3 linked regions of the Tamandua tetradactyla genome follow. The protein of the gene in region 3 binds, or shares a complex with, the protein of the main gene of each other region. Links are inferred from orthologs where the notes say so. Each region holds a gene or a part of one and is shown on either strand. Other genes may lie near its edges.

The links. The genes of interacting proteins can lie anywhere in the genome.
Region 1: TAF5 (region 3) and TADA2B share a complex: the UniProt entries of both Homo sapiens proteins name them as parts of the TFTC-HAT complex. The link is inferred for Tamandua tetradactyla from reciprocal best matches to the Homo sapiens genes TAF5 and TADA2B.
Region 2: TAF5 (region 3) and TAF11 share a complex: the UniProt entries of both Homo sapiens proteins name them as parts of the TFIID basal transcription factor complex. The link is inferred for Tamandua tetradactyla from reciprocal best matches to the Homo sapiens genes TAF5 and TAF11.

What each region holds. Positions count from the first base shown.
Region 1 is NC_135345.1:5,797,635-5,805,772, reverse strand, and holds the start of TADA2B (transcriptional adapter 2-beta), read left to right. Parts: upstream 1-4,914; 5' UTR 4,915-4,950; coding exon 4,951-5,220; intron 5,221-8,138. Other genes in the region: CFAP184 (cilia- and flagella-associated protein 184), read right to left, coding at 2,552-4,285. UniProt on the Homo sapiens protein: Coactivates PAX5-dependent transcription together with either SMARCA4 or GCN5L2.
Region 2 is NC_135331.1:91,175,366-91,182,397, reverse strand, and holds the start of TAF11 (transcription initiation factor TFIID subunit 11), read left to right. Parts: upstream 1-3,808; 5' UTR 3,809-3,888; intron 3,889-4,251; coding exon of another isoform or gene 4,252-4,457; exon of another isoform or gene 4,458-4,620; intron 4,621-4,641; exon of another isoform or gene 4,642-4,887; intron 4,888-5,403; 5' UTR 5,404-5,901; coding exon 5,902-6,072; intron 6,073-7,032. Other genes in the region: ANKS1A (ankyrin repeat and SAM domain-containing protein 1A), read right to left, coding at 4,252-4,457. UniProt on the Homo sapiens protein: The TFIID basal transcription factor complex plays a major role in the initiation of RNA polymerase II (Pol II)-dependent transcription.
Region 3 is NC_135339.1:65,359,972-65,367,035, forward strand, and holds the start of TAF5 (transcription initiation factor TFIID subunit 5), read left to right. Parts: upstream 1-3,880; 5' UTR 3,881-3,900; coding exon 3,901-4,459; intron 4,460-6,454; coding exon 6,455-6,692; intron 6,693-7,064. UniProt on the Homo sapiens protein: The TFIID basal transcription factor complex plays a major role in the initiation of RNA polymerase II (Pol II)-dependent transcription.

The DNA of each region.
Region 1 (8,138 bases), on a different chromosome or scaffold from region 3:
CACTGACCAGAATTTTTCCCAAGCAGCACAGCAAAACGAGTGATCCCAGATTTTAGAAGCATTGCTCTTGATCCCAGAGTCTCAGATGTTTTCTTACACATTGCTCCTTTAGCTTCTTGCTCCTGCTCCAGAGCGCCAAACAAAAATAAACCCAAGATTAAGGTGTAGTTTATCAGGTGTTTAAGAACGAGTTCTGGAGTTAAGTCTTGAAGCCAACCATTGCTGTTTAAGAGCTCTGGGATCTTAAAGAATTTGCTTAAATTTTCTAAGCCTCATTTACCTTTTCTGTAACCAAAGTTCAAAAAGGGTCCTGAGCTTTTGAGGATTAAACAAAATAAGATATTGAACTAATTGTATCATTAAAAAAACAAAAATAAAAAGCTTTATCATAGCTAATGAAACTCATAGCCTTCTCATTAAACTTTTAGTACCTGGCACTTTTGGTGAATTTCATGAATTAGGAAAAAAAAAAAGGAATTTCGCCTCCTAAATACATGTTCAGTGAAGAAAATTTGGAAATACAGAAAAGCAAGAAGTAGAAAATAAAAATTACTCATAATTCCACCACCCAGAGAGAAGAGCTGCTGTTTACATTTCATTCCGAAATTTTTCTCATGCAAAAAATTTTTTGTATGCAGTATGGCAGGGTCACATTTCATTATTTTTCCATGTGAGTATCCCAGTATTGCAGCACCATTTTTTGGTTGCTTTTGTTTTTTTGGAAGTGCATGGACCAGAAATAGAACCTGGGTCTCCTGCATGGTGCCATTGAACTATCTTTGCATCCCCTTCTCATACAAATTTATCCCCACTTTACAAACAAGTAGTTTGAAGCTTAGTTGAAGTGTTTTGTCCCAGGTCCCAATATTATAATGAAAGCCATTTGCATCTCTGCCACTTCACTTGGAAGCCTCCAGTGGGCTAGTACTGCTTTTCGTTTGCGGCATAAAGAAAACAAAGTTCCGTTTGTCAGTGTTTAATTACTACTTTCTCTTTGGCCTTGATGAAGGAGGTAGGGGAAGAAAAAAAAATCTGTAGAAGAGTAGAATGGAAGCAGAAAGTTAACACATTTTCCTCATTATTAGAATTGTGGCTTGATTAAGTCTGGTGTTATCAAGTAAGTGTATTCAAGCTGTGGACATTGAAGAACTTTTAATCTACCTTCACTGACTTCAAAGGGCACCATTTTAGAAAAGGAGATGAAGTTGCCTGAAGTTACTGGAATGTTCTACCCCAAAGTTTTTGAACACTCTTGGGACCAGGTGAGGTGTCTGCCCAGAGTGGGGTTTCTACCATTCTTAGGGTATCTAGCACCAAAAAAAGAGATCATCCTTCTTAGGGTCCAGTTAAGTTAAGGACTAAAAGAATCTCTTAATCCCAAGTCTGAACATTTCAAGATGAAACTCATAATTGAGAGGAAGTGAAAGCAAGTCCCTAGCTCCAAAAGCATCAAAGAAAACTGAAAATGTTGGTCACTGCTCCAGGTTGTTAAGCAAACAGACCTATCGTGTATTTAGTATTTAATATTTTAATATTTGATAGTGACATTACGTGTGCAGGGCCCTGTTGGCAAGATCCAAAAATAACTTGTTTTTTAAAAAGAGGCTTATGGACATTCAGCAATAACTGTTCCATATACTTCTCACCTGGCAAATACCCAATGCAGTCATTATTTTGTTTTTACTGGAAAAAAGAATTTCACTTTTCTGTACAGAGCAGTGCATTCTTTTAGACGATCCCAGAAACAGCCGGGAGAGAACTGAAATCTATCACTGAGCGTGAAACAAACCACGACTGAGCCTCCTTTCCCTGAAAAAGAGACGAAGGAACTTTAGCTCCTTTTCCTAGTTTTATCAATTCTTCTATTTTGTGGATTTTTTAAAATATTCCAGAAACTAGTGCTAGTTACTAACAAATCAATTTAAGTCATTTGGGGAATAGTCTAATTGGTGAAGTTAAAAAAAATTTTTTATTCAACATAACATACAAACACAAACATTCTTACCATATGATCATTCCATTTTTGATAATCAACTCACAATATCATCACATAGTTGTATATTCATCATGATCATTTCTTAGAACCTTTGCATCGAATTGGTGAACTTTTAATTGAGACAACTGACCCAAGACTACACATTCAAAGGCAATTTAATAGTTGGCTTCACGTGCGGGAATTTTTCCATAGCCTAGCACTCCTCCATGTGAAAGAGGGACAGTACTCCTTAGTATGAAGTCCTTCAAATGGCAGAATTGCTCAGGTATAAAGGTCTTCTGTTACCTTTTTAGGAGACGTCAGGCCCATTAAGTCATCCCTGGATGATTTCTCTGGACTTATTTTGGTGAACCCCATCTGCAACTGAGTGCAAACCCAATTTTGCATTCAACACTGATTTGGAAGCTGAAAAATCAGTATACATACAAAATATCATTCCATTCTGAATGTCATCAGCCTTTGGCAGAATGGCAGCAAATGGAGAGTGAGAGTTAGTGAAGGATAAAGTTGGTTGAGATGGAAAAAAGTTCTACCGGCTCTCCTTATTCACCATTGTCAAGAGGGGAGAAAGGCCTTGGCTTCCCTGATCTTCTGCTTCACACCTCTGCAGGACAGAGCCAGGCCAGCGTGATGGTGCTTCAGGGACTCTAAGCGCTGGTTGAGCAGGTCAGTCTTGTCCACCTTTTCTTCCAAGTCCCGGAGAAGTGTTTCTTTGCCAAGAAGCCCGCACTTCTGATTCAGCTTGACATTGTCAATCCGCAGTCTGTCTCGGGCTTGCTTCGTCTTGGTCAGGATGTCCCGCTTTAGGGCCACCTTGGCCTCGATTTCTGCGAGCTGGGCCTTTTTGTACGTGTTCTCGATCTCCATAAAGTGTAACTTTTCCTTCACGTGGGTTATTACCTGCACATTGTTGGTGACCTTGCTGCGCAGTTTTAGGAGTTCCTCATTCCGCTCCTCAACTTTCTCATTGAACGTTTGGTTCTCGATCTTAAGCTGCTCGAAATCGATTAGGAGCAGACCCTCCGTCAGGTCTTCCTGGGCCCGCATCCTGGTTTCAAAGTGCACCAGGCTTTGCTTCAGCTGCACGTTCTCCAGCCTCACAGCACTCATCTCCTTCTCCTTCTTATCCTCCAAGGCCTGGATTTGCTCCACCTCCCGCAGAGCCACCTGACGGCCACCCTGCATCCGACAGCTGCCCATGGCCTGCATCACCACCTGCTTCTTGAGGGCTTGGAAGGCTCGCCACTCCTTCTCCACCCTGGCAAGCTTTTGCTGGCAGTGCTGCTTCAGCTGGTCCAGCTCCTGGTGGTACCAGTCCAGGTCGTCTGCCTCTTGCTTCCTCAGCTCCTCCAGCATGGCCAGATAGCGCAGGTACTGCTGCTCTTTCTCCGGGGCCTCTGGCTCCAGGCCCTTGTCAGGCACTTCAGCCGCATCCAGGCCCTTCTTCTTGCGCAGTGCTTCGTAAATCTTATGCTGCAGGTACAGGTTGTAGCGCTGGTAGCGGCCGCGCTCAGTCAGGAGGGTGCGGTACTGCTCCAGGAGCTCGGTGCGCAGCTGCTGCTCCTGCTCCTTCTGCACCTCCTCAGACCAGCTCCGCTCCTTGTCCTCATCTTCGTCCTCATCCTCGATGGTTAGGTCCAGACTTTTGCCTTCGCCCTCAAATTTCACCTGGCTTTTTTCCCCACCCCTTCCTTCAGCGTCCTCACTCTGTTCCTCCACCTTTCCATCCTCCTCCTCCTCGTCCTCCTCCTCCTCGTCCTCCTCCTCCTCCTTCGCTTCCTCCTCCTGTTTTTCTTTCTCAGCCTCCCGGACTGGCGCGACCTCTCCCCAGATGACCCTGGACAGAAGCGGGTCTTCTTTTTTCCTCGCCCCGTGCTCCTCTTCCTCCTCTCCTTCCTCTTCCTCCGCCCCCTCCTCCCTCTTCCCCACCTCGTCCTTCAACTCCTCCGGCCCAACTTCAGATCCCGTCTTGGGGAGCTCCTCAGAGGGCTGCACCTCAGTCCCGGTTTCGGCCGGTTCCCCTGGCTCGGCCTCGGACTCCGCCGGCTCCTCGGGCCCCACAGCAGCCGCAGCCTCGGGAGCCACCGGCCCCTCCCCGGGCTCGTCCTGTTCAGCCGCGGCGCCCATCTCCGACGCCTCTACGGCCGCAACCTCGGGCTGCGGCTCCGCGGGCTCCGCTGGGGTCTGGAGGCTAGTGCTGGAGTGGAAGCCCGGCAGCCGCGAGGCCAGGCTTTCCACATCTCCGTCTTCTCCCACGGCGTCCCTGTTGATCACAGAGCGGTCCTGCATCTCCCAACCGCTCAGTGAGAGCCGCGGATCCCGGCTGCAGACTATTAGGTTTCCAGGGGCAACCGCGCGCGTGGACGCTGGACCCGACGATTGGCCGGGAGTGAGCCCGACGCCCCGCCCCCGCTCCCCGCCTCCCTCTTAGAGAAGGCCAATGGGAGGCCGCAAACGAACAAGGATCGGAACTGATTGGAAGAGGGTGTGGGCTCGCGCCCCGGGGGGCGTGGCTCGCCGCGCAGGCCTCCCTGCCGCCCGTTTCTCACCTCCCACCCTGGGGCGGGGCGTCGGGGAAACGCCGGCGTGGGCGGCTGTGGCCTGCGCGAGAGTCTAGTGGGCCGCGCAGGCGCGGAGGCGCGAGGCGGGCCTCCGCGCGGGGCGCCTGCGCGATGCGGCGGAGCGACGGCGGCGGCGGCGGCGGCGGCGCCCAGGCCGGGCCGGATGGCGCCTGCGTGCTGAGGCAGGTCGGGGCCCGGCTGGCTGGCTCCGGCGGCGCCTGGGCGGGGACGGCCGCGGTGGCGGCGGCCGGTGGCGGCGGCGGCGGCGGTTGTTCGTGCGTGGTGGCGGCGGGCGCTGGGGGCGGCGGCGGGGCGCTGACGCCGGGCTCCGCCTCAGCGGCGTCGGGCCGGGCAGCGGCGGCGACGGCGGCGGCGGGCGGCGAGCGGGGGAAGATGGCGGAGCTCGGTAAGAAGTACTGCGTGTACTGCCTGGCCGAGGTGAGCCCGCTGCGCTTCCGCTGCACCGAGTGCCAGGACATCGAGCTGTGCCCCGAGTGCTTCTCGGCCGGCGCCGAGATCGGCCACCACCGCCGCTACCACGGCTACCAGCTGGTGGACGGCGGGCGCTTCACGCTCTGGGGGCCCGAGGCCGAGGGCGGCTGGACCAGCCGCGAGGAGCAGCTGCTGCTGGATGCCATCGAGCAGTTCGGCTTCGGAAACTGGGTGAGCGGCGGGCGGGACGGGAAACTGAGGCTCCCTGGCTCTGGGGCGCCCCTGACTCCCAGGCTGAGCGCGGGCACTGGCAGGTGATGGAGAGCTAGTGTCCTCTCCTGTAGGATGGGCTCTGCGCGTCTGGACACTGCTGGCTGCTCCCCTTCTCGCCCAATAGACTACCTCCCAGCCCTTGCCTTGCTCGTGTAGTGCTCTCCCCAGGCGGCCCATGGCCCTAGGCTCAGTGAACACCCCACTTTACAGGTGGGGAAACTGATGCTGAGAGAAGCTGAGCAACGTGGCCAAGGTCACACAGCCAGGAAGAGGCAAACTGGAGATTTGAACTCTAGCTTTCTGACAGCAGAGCTCATTTTCGTGATCTTTCGGGATACCTTCCCCATATCTATACTGAGTGCAAACAAGGGGCCAGACCTGGGGAGTTCCTGGAGACAGGCAGTCCTGACAGCATGATAGGAGCACTGAAGAAGGAGGGGGTTCTGCCTGGAGAACAGTGGTGGAGAAGGCCAGGCAAATTTCACACATGCCCTGAGGCTTGTCTCACTGTCTCTCGTGCACTTAATCTGTGTTCGTGGCTCTGTGTGCTTTCTGTGGTTGTCTGTGTGTGCCTTGTTCCCTGCCAATGCACAAGTTCTTTGGGGGCTGGAGCAATGCTGAGAGTGGTCGGTAAATAATGAATAGAGGATGATGGAACAGGCAGGAGTCCTGAGTTTTTGCCCTGTTTATCAGAAGATTTTTGTCAAAACTGTTGGTGAAAGGGAAAGGTGGGAGCTGGACTAGATTCATTTATACTTACAAGATAGTGCTGTGGGTTCCTTGAAAGAGAGAAATGTGGTTCTTCTTTCAGTTATCCTTAAGGAGCTCTTTCCACTCCAGAAGAGGAAGCTTTCATTCGTATTAGAAAGGAAAAATCTAGCTGTATTCTCATCTGTAACCACCAAGGATCTGTGGCCATCTTCAGTTCTTTACAAGAAGTAGGTGCCATGAGACATAACCCTAGCTCCCTAATCTTTCTGGTCCCCTCCCCTGGTCTGTTGTGGCCCCCCGCTTCTCCGGCTGCACTTCCCCTCCTCCCTGGTTTACTGAGAGAAGACATTCCACACTGGCCCTGTTCTAAAACCTATACTTGTTTTATTTCCTTTTTTGTAAAGTGAATCATTCTCTGGGACCATTCCCCAATCCCCAAAACCTGGCACCTCTCTTCTTCTCCCGACTCCTTCGAGCAGACACTGTTCCACAGATTCTTACCCACTGGCCAGCTTTGTGATCACCGCTCTCCTAAAACCTCAGTCTCGCTATATTGTTAAATGTTGCTTATTGATGTCTACTGAAGGTCTTCCTTGTGCTGGTTCTGCAGTGGTGCAGGACTCTGAAAGAAAGGGAAGATTATAATCCCTGCCTCTAAGTAGCCTAAATTATTTTAATCATTTGGTCTGAGCTCTTCTCTAAGACCCAGCCTTCTGTGATGTCCTCATCTGCTTATCTCAGACATGGCAAATGGACCTGACCCATATCTCACCTCCTCATTCAGGCTAAAAACCCAGGAGCCATCCTCAGATCCTTTTCTGTCCACTTCCTCACCAATCCAGTCTTCAGAGCCTGTGCCAAATCTAACGACTGCTGACCTTAATCCAGGCTCTTGCCAGCTGTTGCCATTACCACCTCTGGAGCCACCTAACTGGTCCCCTGCTTTATTCAGGTCCCCTGCAGCCCATTCCACGGGCTGTCATTGGAGTGATCTTCTAAAAACATAAGTCTTACCATCTCGCTCTTCAGCACCTTCCAGGATGCCTAGGATTCAGCCTCAGGCCTACCAGGCCGACCTTGCCTCCTGGCCAGTGGGAGCTCGGCTGTTCCCTTCCCCTGGATTGTTACTATTCCTTCTGCCTGGAGGGATTTTCCTGTTAGTCCTGGCTTGTGACGGATCTTTCTACTTCAGTAGCCAGAGCGACTCTGTCTTCCTCATGCCATTCTTCATGCATTTATCTCTATAATAGTGGGTAAAGACAGCTACAACGACCGAGCACATGCTGAGTGTGTCTCTCCTTAATGCCCCCCAGCAGCCCTGGGCAGTAAGTTTTGAACTGATGTGGTGTGACGTAGAGTCTACAGTCCTTACTGCCCTTTTATAGAGATAAATGCATGGAGAATGGCATGAGAAAGACAGAGTCTCTCTGGCTACTGAAGTAGAAAGATCCGTCACAAGCCAGGACTAAGAGGAAGATCCCTCCAGGCAGAAGGAATAGAAACAGTCCAGGGGAAGCAACAGCTGAGCTCCCACTGGCCCGGAGACAAGGTAGGCTGGTAGGCCTGAGGCTGAATCCTAGGCATGCTGGAAGGTGCTGAAGGAAGATGTGGTAAGACTTATGTTTTTAGAAAATCACTCCAATGACAGTCTACACTGCCCTCCTCCCTCCCGTAGTACTGTGGAAGATACACAAAAACAAGTTGTGGAAACTAAAACATCTTAGCTAGTGGAAGAGGCTTAGGGCTGGGAGGGGGCAGGTCTCTTTTGTAATACAGTGCTTTTCTAACATCAGTGTGCGCTGAGCAGCCCAGGGAGCTTGTTAACTTGCAGACTGTGAGCAGGTTCAGAGTGAGGCCTGAGTGTCTGCATTTCCAGCAAGTTGCTGCTGCTCTCTACTGCTGCTTCTGCAGACCGCACTCTGAGGTTGCCAGGCTGGAATACTTCTCTGGCTGTGTTGCCTTGGACTAGTTGCTTTTCCCCTCTAGGCTTCATATTTCTTCATCTAAGGCTGTTCTCCAGCTCTGAGACGTGTGGTTCTCTATGAACATATATTCATGTGTGTGCACGTAGGTAAGGATATTCCCCATTTATCACAGATTTAGCATGTGCCTATAACTGGGCCAGGCTCTTTATCTACATATTTCATGTAATCTCTATAACAGCC
Region 2 (7,032 bases), on a different chromosome or scaffold from region 3:
TATCTCAGTAATCTTCTGGAAATCAGAGTGGGGAACATTTTCTGAGGGCTCTCCAGTAAAGAGACAAGCTCCTAACCAAAGGAGAGCCTGAAGTCTCCAAGAACAAACTCCTCACTGTCTACTTTTGGGGTTTCCTTGGTGTGTCTGGGCTATAAATCCCAGCAATTTACTTTCCTTACAAAAGACTAGGGCAGAATTAGACTTGACTTCCTCTTTCAAAACCAAAATTCACAGCTGTTTTGGGGTGAACAAACCAAAGGGGAAAAGAAGCCTTCTGAAGGGATTTTTCTGGCAAAGGATGCATCTTTCACTAGGACCATACTCTCCTGTGACAAGTGAATATAGCTGAAAGTGACTGGATACAAATCAAATTTCTCAGACCACAACACTGTTCCTTTGTCTTTTATCTTCAATTTTTGTAACTAAGAAGATACAGTGAAAACTGAACTTTAATTAGAAAATTCAGAAAAAGGGAGACCACTGACTTATTATAAATACAGGTTTTTACAAATAGATGCCCTAGTCAGTTTAAATTAAGCATATTCCAGATTTTTAGATAAAAAGTAAGCACATAGAAGTCATTTCCATGCATGCTACTTCTGTTTCGTTTTAACAGAGGAACCAAATTCTACTTTAGAAAAAAGCAAAAATGAACACAGCTGTCTCCCCAACAAAATTGTACTTAGGAGTATTTTAAGAAGTTCTTAACAAACTATATTTAATTAAATGAGGTTAGAGGACAATTGAGAAAACTGTTAACCTAAGTGGATCGTTCTGTTTTTTTTTTTTGCATTCTCTTAAGAGAAAACCTTAGATCTGACAATTCTATAAGATACTGTGTCTAGGCCCTTCCATTCTACAATCCTTTTAGGATCAGTTTATCACTCTTCCTTAAAATATTAAAATCATTTCCCACAAAATAGATACATGCAAAAGAAAGCTGGCACAGAAAAGTAAAATGGTCAGCATGAGAAAAAGCTACCCTGACATTATAATCCCCAAGCTACTAATCCATTCTGGGGATGAAAAAAATCATTTGACAATAGAAGGTTAAACTAACCACTCTCAAAAAAAATCTGAATTTCTTCATTAAACTTTCTTAAAAACAATTGTCATATCTTCTGACATTTGGGAGAACCTGTTATTGTGCCCAAAGTGAAGCTCATTTTTAAAAAATTTTCATTCTTTAACTTATTTCAGATCCTTTTCATATTTTGGGGGAAACGTGTGTCTGGTTTTGGACAGTCTTATTTTTTGCTCATATGGCAGAGTAAAAAGTAGCTTATAGCTACTTCAGAGTTCTCCAGCAAGCCTCCTCAGCTTCCTCTTATTCGTTTTCCTTATGGTTGAGAAATCAAGCATAGAATTTTCCTAAAAGCATGACACAATCTCCCCCTCAACTACAGCCTTTGGTTTACTTTCTTCATGCTGCTGAGCCTGAGGAGTACGTTTCACTTTACCTTTCCACTCACATACATCAGTATTCAGCTCAGAATTTAATTTATCGTTTTAAGCTATGATCTGATGTTTTCCTTTAGCATTTCCCTTTTCTTAGACCTTTCTGAACTTTGATAGAATTCACTTTTAACCCAAATCTTACTGAATTCTCATACAGAAGTTGCTTTTATGGAAATCTAAACTCATATGAGTTGATGAGCTACTGTGCACTACTATAAATGATATGATCTAAAGAAGCAGGAGCTTGGCAGATCTTGTATGTATTAGAGACATGAGGAAGGGTTTTAGGAAGTTAAGATCTAAGACCAGGTAGTATAAGAGAAAAGGATGGGTGAAAGACGAAGGCATTTAGTAGCTTAAGATAAAGTAGCACAAGGCCTCTGTAGAATGGAGGTGATTAGCATACATAAAAACAGATGTGATTTTAAATATTTATACCATTTGCAATAAGAAGCCCCTATTTCCTGCCTGCCAGCTTTACTTGGTCACTCAAACGGCTGGACAAATGTGGGGTTACAGATGGCAGTACTGCTGGGGTGGTAGATGGTGGCTAAAACAAAGGTCAAATCTGAAGCAATGATCCAACAGCTGTGATTTAATAACTCAGGGTCCTTGAGGTAGAGGGATAGGGTAGAGGGGACTTACCTCTTCTATTTCCAAATCTAAAGAGGGAGGACATGCCAATCTAGGGATTATTTAAATGTACGCTTTCATTTGCTTAGAAATCTTTCAGTTTTAATCACAGCTACCTCTGAGATAGTCACAATTAATGACACACCTAGTACCTTCAGATCCTCCCTGCCCCTAAGAGCGGCAGGGATGAGAGGCTCCAGCAACTTTTAGGCCTTTTACCATCTTAACAACAGACATGGGAGCAAGTCTTGAGGAATCAGTTCTCTTATTCAGTGAAATGGAGATACCACCCACCCTGTATCACAGAGACTGGACACATTATCATGAGGCTCAAAGTATAAACATTTGCTCAACAGACATTTCCTAGTCTTGCTGAACTACAAGGCACCTATATGCTCAGAAGAATTTCAACAGCCCCTGAGTGAGAGCACTAAGAGTGACTTGGCCTGCAGTTGAAGGTGGGAGATATACGAAAGGTTCTGGCTTCACTAGGAGATGCTGGGATTCAAGGTATTGCTGGCAAGCATCCAAATGCTACATCATTCCATTCATTAGAGGTAGATGCAACCCCAACCTTGTATAGTCTTTCCCTCATCTCCCAGGCATGAGAACTACAAAGTAATAAAGTAAAGGAGGTAAAATCCAAAACCCAATTCATGCATTCAAAGTACCGTTTATTGAGTACCTCTGCACTGTCAGGTACTGACCTAGGCACTGAAAGACAAATAAAAGATTTATCCCACCTACCTCCTCCTCCTAGTGCCACACTAGCACCAAATCAGTCTACTTCCCACTTCTGTGCTTCTGATCATGGTGTGTCCATCTGGAATGCTCTTGCCATACTTCACCTATCCAAATCTTCACCTGCTTTAAGGCCAGCTGAAGTTCCCCTCCTTCCTGAAGCCTTCCCTGACCCTCATCTCATCCCAAATAGTTAATAGTTCTTTTGTCTGAACTACTATTACAGAGAGTACCACCATCAATCCATTTAGAAATGTATTGTCCTACAATTGATGATTTTATTTACTCAACAAATATTGAGTACCTACAGTTTGTCAGCATTGTTCTAGAGGTTGGAGAGGTAGCCATGAACAGTACCGTTTTTGCTTCCCCAAATGAAGCTCCTAGGGAAAGTTCTTCTCTTATACTGCTTGTTTTGTTTTGTTTCGTTTTAAATAAATCATCCTGCATAGAGGATACTCAATCCTTAAATGTAACCAGGTATTAAAGCCTTGGGCTTTTTTGGCCCAAGGTTACTCAAATCGAAGTTACATAAACTAATGGGGAACAAATGCTAACAAAGCCATTTCTAAATAAACTTCCACTTCTTAAAAACCTCAAAAGAACAAGGAAGGAAAAGAAAGCAGGCTATGAAAGCGGTGCTGAACCAACAAATTTTTACTCACAGTAAAAAAGCATCTCCACACACAAAAATGACCATTTCCCCCTCAATCCTTACAGCTCCAAATCCAAGTGTTTATTTTAGCAACAGATCTTGGATAGTTAAAAGCACCCCTGAACAACTCTTTCTAATTATTTCGTGATGAATAAATCTCCTGAAGAATCCTGCACATGCCACTTAGACTAATCCAAACAGATTAAGTACAAGGAACTAGAATTTGAGCTTCAGTCACAAGAACACTCTAAACGTGACAAATACTGAGACAATTTTACCACAAACAATGAAAGCCAGGTCTCGCAGAGCCTGGTGGAAGGCTCCAAGTTCCTTAGAGAAAGGAATAGAATTTCCTCCGAGAAGTCGCGAGATTTCACAAGGCGTGGGAATTTCTGCAGGAGGTGAGGGAGATTATATATAGGTTTTTTTTTTTCTTTAAAGTGGTTTGTGAGACACGACAGTTGGCAACCTATAGCGGGCGAGGGTGAAGCCGAACTGTGCCATGCGGCGGAGGCTGCCACCTTGGGCACTCCCACCATTCTTCGCAGCCGAGTCAGGACAGGAGATGAGGAGAGCCCCGCACCGCGCGGACCGGGACCCGAGCCCCCTCCTGCTCCCTGCCCTTGAGGCCGCCTGCCCGCGCTCCGGCACACCCCACAAACCCAACCGCTCGGGTCTCAGGAGCCCGGATCTCTGTGGATCCCAGGAGACAGGCTGGGTAGAGGGGATCTCGAGGCGGTGGCCGGGCCTGGACGCGTACCCACCTGAGCAGACTAGAGAGGGGGTGGCTCGAGGAGCCCAGGCCGCCGCCGCTGCCGCTGCCGCTGCCGCCGCCGCCACCGCCGCCACCGCCCCCCGAGCCGCCGCTGCCCCCGAAGCCTGAGGAAAGCCGCTTTCCGGACAGCAGCTTCTCCACGGCCGGGAGGTGGCCGGTGCGCGCCGCCTCCAGCAGCTCTTGTTCCTTCCCCATCCCCAAGCCGCCGCCCCTCTGGACCCCTGCCCCGGGGCCGCTGCCGAACCCGCTTTGGCTCCCAAACTTTCTGTCTCCGGGCAACGCACCCCCCAGACCGGTCGGGGACACCACTCCCCTCAAACCCGCCCCCACCCCGCGTTTTCCCCACGCGCGCGTCACTTCCGGGACTCGGCGTCACGCGTCACCGCGCCCCTCTTCCCGCCCTCTTGCCCACCTAGCTGGGCGGAGCTCAGAAAACTGGTGCAGGTGTCTGGGATTGGCATTTAGCGGACCTCGCTGTGCGGAGACTGGGCTTGGAAGGGCCAGGGGACATCGCGGTGTGGCTGCCACCTCCCCAGGTGGAAGGGAACGAACGGCCCACCTGTACGCGCCTTCCGGAGCGCTCTGCTTCCTCAAAAGTTTTGGGAGCACACTGGAAAGAAATACGGTAATTCATCCAGGCAGCATAGAAACAAAGAGAGAAGTATGGTAACGCGCATCTACATTTCCAAGTTCATTCTTACACCGCACATAAGTACTTAGTGATACAGACCTAGTGATACAGAGATGAATAAAATATGCCTACCTCCCATAACTGAATGTGCGCGAAGGAGAGAAGGGAGGAACATTTAAAAATAAACATAGCTCACCTCATCTTCTCAATCCTTGAAATGGCTCATTAGGGCAAAAGGTTAAAGGAGATATATGCACACATCGGTAGCATTTGTTTCCTCTTTTGATGAGAGTAACGAAACTGACATAAAAAGTTAACGTTTGTGAAAGCAACCCCGATCTTGAATTCTGATGAGTTGGAAAAAATCAGTGGGTAGGAACCATGCCAATTTAGTTCACTTGTACCTACCACCGTTACTGGTTCTAAGTAGACGAACCAATTGTAAACTAAATAAATGGACTGGATAAGTTCTGCTCAAGTTAAGTCAGTGAATTTATGTTTGTTTTTCAGGTACATGCGGAAAAGAAGGGAAATGCTGGCAACTCGGTGTAAACATAGGTCTCTTTAATTGAAACGTACGAAGTTGAGTTGCTGCCTGAAAGTTCATCAGACGAAGGCAGCCGCATACAACGACGCGGGCATACAACGGAACTGAGTTTTCTTCCCTGTACCCCAACTTCTTTCCTCCAAGGGAGGCGGATTAGGAAAGGCGTTGCCTGACATTGCATTTTTAGAAAGGAAGAAAGGAAAAAGAAGTCCTTCACAAATGCTGGCTCTCCCAAGGTAGACAATCCGCACCCCTAATTTTTCCTTTCCTAACCATCACCCCCAAATGGAAGCGTAAAAACGAAAGCTCAGAGACGTCTACGCGCCCCTGAAAATGTCCCCTTCGAGGAGCTGTAGAGGTGATGTCATCTTGGCGCGACAACGGGAAGTAAGCTTGTGGGCTGCAGTGCTGCGCGGGTTCCCAGCCGTGGTCTGACAGCGCCGCGATCTAGTTTCATAGTAATGGAAAATGCCTGCGAGTCGCCCACAGACAAAAGTGGAGAGACAAGGGAGTCGGATGAGACGCCTGCGGTTCCCTTGTGCTCCGGCGCCACCGACACAGATATAATCCGGGAGGAAACTGACGGGGACGGAGATGGGGACTTGAAAGAAGCCGGAACGGAGGATGGCGAGGTAAGGAGACATGTGTTGATGGGGCTGGAGCAGTAGCCCGAGATTGGGTTGCTGACTGTTCGCAAGCTTCCTGGTTGGTTCCTCTCAAGCTACGAGAACTTGAATACACAACGACTCGTCTAGATTTGCAATTGTGGAGGGAAAAAGTTAGTACTGGTTCGGTTTCAAAGGCCTAAAGAACTAGGTTAATATTTTAAATCACTACCCTTTGAGATTAAGCTACTTCTAAGGAAATTTTAAATAGCTTCTTGGTTTTCCTGGTGAGGAAATTGAGATCTGATGAGACTTAGTGCAAGAGCCAATACTAGAACCAAGGGTTCTCCACTATTGATTAGTATGCCTTTCACTGCAATACGATTCCTCTCAGAGGTTCCGTGAACATAACTTCTGTTTCTATAGGTGGCAGATGCGATTGGATCCGTTAAAGGGAAACTTGAAGGGAGTTATTTGTTTAATCATGTTCTTACCTTCTTGAGGCATGACCTGGGTACCAATGTCCAGGAGTCTCTTGAACATAAAAACACTAAACCCATCAGTTGGGTCACCCTCAGAGTTTAGCAGTGTTTCCTAGCCAAGCATCAGTCAAGGGACCAGAATCTAAGTGATCATGACCATTGGGTTCCATATCTAGAGATAGAATCTTAAGTCTTAGAGCTGGAAGAAACTTAAGAGATCACGGAGTCCATATTAGAATAGATGGAAACAGCCTTCTTTCGGAACACTAAGTTGCATCAAAACATACGAAATAATAACTTTTAGATATAAAGAAAAAAGTGACAAAAGTAATTTGAGAAGAAGCCTTTAAAACAGGATTTGAATAAAATTAACTTGGTCCAATAGAGAGCACATTAGCTATAAAATTTTGCACCCAACAGAGGACGCAATTTTTTTTGATGCTTCTGAAACACTTTAAAAAATTGATCAGTGTACCAAACCACAAAGAAAAAATATAGATTCTTA
Region 3 (7,064 bases):
TATAAAGATATAACTTTTACAATGTGACTGTGGGATAGTGAAAACCTTGTGTCAGTTGCTCCTTTAATCTAGGATACGGACAGATGAGTAAAAAATATATAGATTAAAAAAATAATGGGGGGGGGCGGTGCGATGATGGCTCAGTGGCAGAATTCTCATCTGCTATGCTGGAGACCCGGGTTTGATTCCCGGTGCCTGCCCATGCCAAAAATAATAATAATAATAAAATAAAATAATATAATAATAATAATAATAATAATGGGGGACAAAGTGTAAAATTAATTGGGTAGATGGAAATACTAGTAGTCAATGACAGGGAGGGGTAAGGAGCATAGGATGAATGAGTTTTTTTTTTTTATTTCTTTTTCTGGAGTGATGCAAATGTTCTAAAAAATGATCATGGTGATGAATACACAACTATGTGATGATATTGTGAACCACTGATTGTACACCATGAATAGAATGTATGTGTGTGAAGATTTGTCAATAAAAATATTTAAAAAACAACTCGGTCAAACTAAACAGATGGTTAACTCACACTGGGGGCTATCTCCCTCCCCCTCAACCATAGAGATGGTATAGAAATCGATAGATCTATAAAAACTGTAGGAAACCTGAGGCTCCCTGTGTGTATGTCTGAATGTGTGTGTATGTGTGAAATAGCAGTTCCAAGAGGAAGATATCAGGGAGCTACACACAGGAATTGATCTGGGGAAAAGTTTTTAATTTGTGTGCTTTTCTCGTCCCCATCTCACCCTGGATCACCACCCGTCCACTACCTCATCCTCACCATCCATCTCCACTGAAAATAAGTAAAACCACCACACCATCCTAGAGATGCCAGAGACTGTGGGGTTACATTAGAGCAGCACCAATCAAGAAAGATGGCAGTAAATGTTCCAAGAAATGATCATGATGATGAATATGCAACTATGTGATGATATTGTGAATTACTGATTATATATATAGAACGGAATGATCAAAATAGGAATGTTTGCGTTTGTTTGGTGTTTTTGGTATTTAAAAAATAAAAAAAAAAAAAAAAAGAAAAATGGCAGTGGGGACCGAAGGAGTCAAGGGTGTTTGTGTGAGGATGACAACAGGGCAGTCAGATCCATTGGCTCTATACCCTCCCCGACCCCATACTTTGAAGAATAGGTGAGACTAGATAGCTTTTAGGAAAGAGCCAAGTCTAGGGTAGAGATTGAGTATAGGAATTGTACTATAGCAATTGACTATAGGAAAGTTTTCTGGGGTCAAAGACACCTGAAATATTTGTGTGTGTGTGTGTGTGTGTGTGTGTGTGTGTGTGTGCACGTGCCTGCATGTGCTCTTGCACTTATGCTTCTGCTGGCAAACAAGTAGTGATCGAGCCCAGACAGTAAGACTGGAAACTTTTCATCTTGTGGTACACCCGCCACCTTTTCCCAATGCTGGCCGTCAGTCTTTCCTTCTGCTTATACATAGCAGTCAAGGTAACTGGTACTTCCAAGGAAAAATGAATTCATGGAGAAAAATAAGGAGATGTAGGAGTACAACCCCATTAGAGCAAGAAATTGAACAACCTAGACTTGGTGAATCAGAATAAATGCCCCAGCCTCAGGTAGAAAAAGAATTTAAGTTTAACACATATCCTCAAAGAGAAAAGGGTTCATGTTGATTGTACCAGAGTTTCACAACCTCAGCACTGACATTTCTGGTCAAATAACTCTTTGTCGTGGGGGGCTGTACTAGTTTGTTAAAGCTGCCGGAATGCAATATACCAGAAATGGAATGGCTTTTAAAAAGGGAATTTACCAAGTTGGATGTGTAGAATTCTAAGGCAATAAACATGTTCAAACCATGGCATGCAGAGAAAGATACTTTGGTTCAAGAAAGATCGATGGGTCTGGAACACCTCTGTCAGCTGGGAAGGCCACTGACTGGCGTATGCTGGGGTCTCTGGCTTCTGGGCACCTCTGTCAGCTGGGAAGGCACATGGCACGACATCTGCTAGCTTTCAGTCCTGGCTTCTCATTTCATAAGGATTCCCTGAGGGTGTTTTCCTTCTGCATCTTCAAAGGTCTCTGGCTGTGTGGGCTCTGTCAGCACTAAAGCTTTTTCCAAAATGTTTCCCTCTTAAAGGGTTCTAGGAAGCAAACCTACCTTCAATCAGTAGAGATGCATCTCCATGGAAACCACCTAATCAAAAGGTGCCACCACAATTGGGTGGATCACATCTCCAAGGAAATAATAAAAAAAATTCCACCCAGCAATACTGAATGAGGATTAAAGAACATGGCTTTTCTTGGCATACACAATAGTTTCAAATTGGTACAGGGACTGTCTTGTACATTGTGGTATGTTTAGTAGCATCCTTAGCATCTACCCACTAGATGCCAGTAGTTGTGACAATCAGAATATCTCCAGACATTGTGAAATGCATTCATTGGTATCATGAAGCAGGAACAATAAACCATAAAAAAGAAACAATTCAAAATACCAGAAAAACATAATGGTTGAAATAATTCAACAAATGGGTTATGTAGCAAAATGGATGCAAACTGAGAATGAATTATTGCAATGAAAAATCAGGCAGAGGAACTCTCCTATCAATTGTCCAGAAGAGATAAAGATGAAAATATGGAAGTTAAAAGACCTATAGGATAGAAACAGATGTAACATTATCTACCTAATAAGAATACTAGAAGGGGAAAAGTAAATAGAGAAGAGGAGATATTTATGATAAAATGCTTACTAATTTTCCAGAATTGAAAAAAAAAAAAGACCTCAGATTGAAAGGATGTGAAAAGAGTCAGTCAAGATAGAGATGAAAAATCCAATCCTAGACACATGAGAATAAAGCTAAAGAACACCAAAGCGAAAGAGAAAGATCAAAAAAGCAGCTCTCCTACAAAGGAGCAAGATGCTGATTGATACCAGACTTATCCAAGTATCCTACGAACAGAGTAGGAGGAGAATGGTAGTAGGAAGTGAGTCTTGCAGACATTCAATAAAATTATCTCAATTGTGGTGTAACAGAAAAAACACTACACTTGGAGTAAGCAACCTGGGCTGAACTTCCAACACAGACCTTTTCAAAGCTCAGAGATGAGTCAAGTAAGAGGCTGACCTCATGGGGGTGGGGTGTGTGCAGAGGGTTGCAGTGCTTTTTCAGGACTCCTCAGTTTCTGGGCTTCAGCTATACAGCTATTTAGGGCCTGAGCCGTGACACTAATGTATACATCAGAACGTTAATCTGTTATTCACAATGGGGTAAAACTTTTGCAAAAGTAAAAACTGCACACACACACAAAAGTAGCCGCCACCCACATTAAAATAAAAATGTCACCCGTATCTCGGAAGCTTCCCTTTGGCAAATGGCATATGCTTTTTTTGAAAATATAAGTTCCATTTGGGAAGTTGTAGGTTTACAGAAAGACCATTCAGAAAAATACAGAGTTTCCATGCCTCCATTTTGAACATTTTGGCATATGCTTTTGAGTTAAAGACCTGGATTCGAACACTGCAACTTTCACTACTTCTTCTATGACCCTGGCAAGTCATTTAACCTCTTTGGGTCTCTGTTGAACCATTTATAAAGTGGGTCTAATAATACCTCATATGCCTGGTGAATTAAAGGAGTTCATATAATAGAGAAAGTCCATAAAATGCTTGGATATAGCTGGCCTAAAATAAACAGTAACTATTATCAGACAAATTAATAGGCGGCCACCAAAGCACGCTTCCTGCCTTTCCTTCGCTTTGGAAAATTGCTTTTTCCCACTCCTTTTCTCCCTCTTTCTCGCTCCTCCTACTGCCGTAAATTGTCATCCAGAGCTGTCGTGAAATGCTCCTCCCCCTCCTCCATGTGGCGAAAACGCAATCACGCTTGACGGCGCGGGGTGGCTCAGCCGCAAGATGGCGGCGCTGGCGGAGGAGCAGACGGAGGTGGCGGTCAAGCTAGAGCCTGAGGGACCGCCAACGCTGCTACCTCCGCAGGCTGGGAACGGCGCTGGCGAGGGGGGCGGCGGCACCACCAACAACGGCCCCAACGGCGGCGGCGGGAACGTTGCGGCCGCGTCGTCGGCCGGCGGGGATGGCGGGACCCCCAAGCCCGCAGTGGCTGTCTCCGCCGCTACACCGGCGGGGGCGGCCCCGGTGCCCGCCGCTGCTCCGGAGGCCGGCGCTCCCCATGACCGACAGACTCTGCTGGCAGTGCTGCAGTTCCTACGGCAGAGCAACCTCCGCGAGGCCGAAGAAGCGCTGCGCCGCGAGGCCCGGCTCTTAGAGGAGGCAGTGATGGGCTCCGGAGCCCCAGGAGAGGTGGACGGCGCCGGGGCCGAGGTGGCAAGTGCACTTCTCAGCCGGGTCACTGCCTCGGCTCCCGGTCCGACGGCTCCGGACCCCCCCGGCACCGGAGCTTCGGGGGCCGCCGCAGTTTCAGGCTCAGCCTCAGGTTCTGCGGCTCCGGGAAAAGGTGAGTTGCGGAGTCCGGGGGAAGCAGGGCCAGCACGAAGGGGAGCTAGCCGGGAACGCAGGGGCTGGCAGGCCTGCAGCTATGCGGGCTTGTTTTGAATTTCCTGAGCCCGCCTCTAGGGCCACATGCCCGCCCCTTTCTCTGGTGCGCCGGCTGCGCAGTCAAACCCTCTTCCGAACTGTCATTTCCAGCTAGAGGCTGAAGAGAGCTGTTGAGCTGAGGGATGTATGGGGAAGGTGGACTCGAAGTGGCGGGGTCCTTCAGGCTTTTGGTCTCTGTCCTCTCATTTGGGCTCCTAAGCCTTGGGTAGGTCTACATGAACACTAAGTCTTTGTACAGTACCGTATTAGCGGACGAAGGACTTTAACTTACTTCTCACAGTTCTACCGGGAGGTAGATACTACTTCTGTTTTAGAGATGAGAAAACAGATTGAGAAAGATCAAAAGACTAGTTTTGAACCACACAGCCAAGGAGTGGTGGAATATAGTGTAGGCATTGTTTTTTAAGAGTAAGGCTAAGTACCCCCAGTGTTGAAATGTTTGCAGATGCAGATTCCTGATCACCACTTAGACATAGTGAATCACACTTCTAGAGGTGGAGTCTGGGAATCTGCATTTTAAGTAAGTGCTTCCAAGGGATATTGATATATGGCAAGGTTTGCGAACCATTAGTTTAGAAATAGGGATGGAACAGACCTGGCTTCAGATCATGTCTCTGCTGCTTTTACTTGTATGGTGCTGATTAAGTTATTCTTCCTAAGAATAACTTTTCTCTCTTTTAAATGAGTTATTATGAGCATCAGATATATGTGAAAGGATGGCATTGATAGGCTTATACCTTACTAGCCATCCCTCACGTCTGATACCCCCCCTTCTCCCAACAACTGTTGTCACAAAGACCATGCAGTAGAAAACTCGTACATAATATAAAGTCTCAGAGGTAATTATGAGCTGACAAGAAGTGTTTATTGAATTAAATTATCCTGTTACGAGCTTCTAGCCTTATTAATCGATAATTTATGAGACCTAATCTTTGCAATATTGCCAGAAGTGAAGTATGAATACATAACAGTGTGACTCATAAATAGATATGGGTGAAAATGTGAAGAGAAATCTTTTCTGAATAGTGAATTAAGAATTTTGTGAATAAATTATAAGATAGTATGTTGTTGGTTTTCTTACTGTAATCACTCATCTGGAAATCTGATGTATTTTTAGATCATAGTTGGAAACTCAGAGGCCATTAGAGTAACAAAAAAATAACATTCATGCAGTAAAGAGTCTACTTAAAAACTTAAACATTTCCAACAACCAAAAGCTATGATTCAGTTGACAGATGTATCATTTTTGGTATTGCTGTTATAAATAGTGTGCTTTAAATCATGTTTTCTGCCCCGAAATGGTGATTATGGAAATTTGCTTTAAGCATATAAAATAGAGTTAATTATTGTTTGAGATATAAATAAGTTTCCTCTCTTAAAATGCTTAACATTTTAGAAGAGTCAATAGTTGTACACATGTGAGGGTAACATGAAATAGAATATGTTATAGGAAAGTTCAGAGTACTCAGAGAGCTGGAAATGTTACTTCAGGGCATGGCTTCTGAAGTGGTGGTGGTGGTGGGGAGGATAGGTGCCATTTGCACTGAGTCTTTAGAGAAGATTAATATCGTTCTTCGATATACACATATCATCTTCTACAAAATTCAAATTTACAATGAAGTAGCTCCAAGAAAACATTAAAAAATTTTTTGTTATTGATTTCAACATATTACTTTAAGATATGGACAAGCTAAGCATGAGGTTTTGTCCTGGGTGAATGAAATGAAGTGAAATATCCCATTAAAAGACTATAATTGTGTTGGTAAAGAAAGGTTGAGAAGAGAGAGACAAACATATCTAAGAACCGGATAACTCTGGGGCTTAGAAAAACAGCCATAGTCACATGTGTTCATCTGGTCATTTTCTTGAAAGTTGGTTTTTGATTTTTGAACAGTTGCAAGTGTAGCTGTGGAAGACCAGCCGGATGTCAGTGCTGTGCTGTCAGCTTACAACCAACAAGGAGACCCTGCAATGTATGAAGAATACTATAGTGGACTGAAACACTTTATTGAATGTTCCTTGGACTGCCATCGGGCAGAGTTATCCCAACTCTTTTATCCTCTGTTTGTACACATGTATTTGGAACTAGTCTACAATCAACATGAGAATGAAGCAAAATCATTCTTTGAGAAGTATGTGGATTTTGGTATATATTTTATGTAAATATATAACTTGTGTGTGTATATATATGTATGTGTACATATCTGTAACACAAATATATGAATATATGTTATGTATAAGATTGCAACTCACAAAGTATATTGTGAAGGAGAAGTACTTGGTGCTATGAGTGCCTAAAATATGGGTTTGATCTAGTTGGAGAAATCAGAGAAGGTTCCCAGAGGAAGTGATGCTTTAAGGGAAGATCTGAAGATTGGGTAGGAGTTAACCAGATGAAGACAAAGAGTAGAAAAGGCATGTGTAAAAGTTCTGTGGCAGCAAGGGGCATGGTAGGTACAGAGACTGAAATAAGGCCAGTGTGGCTGGATCAGAGAATGGGATGG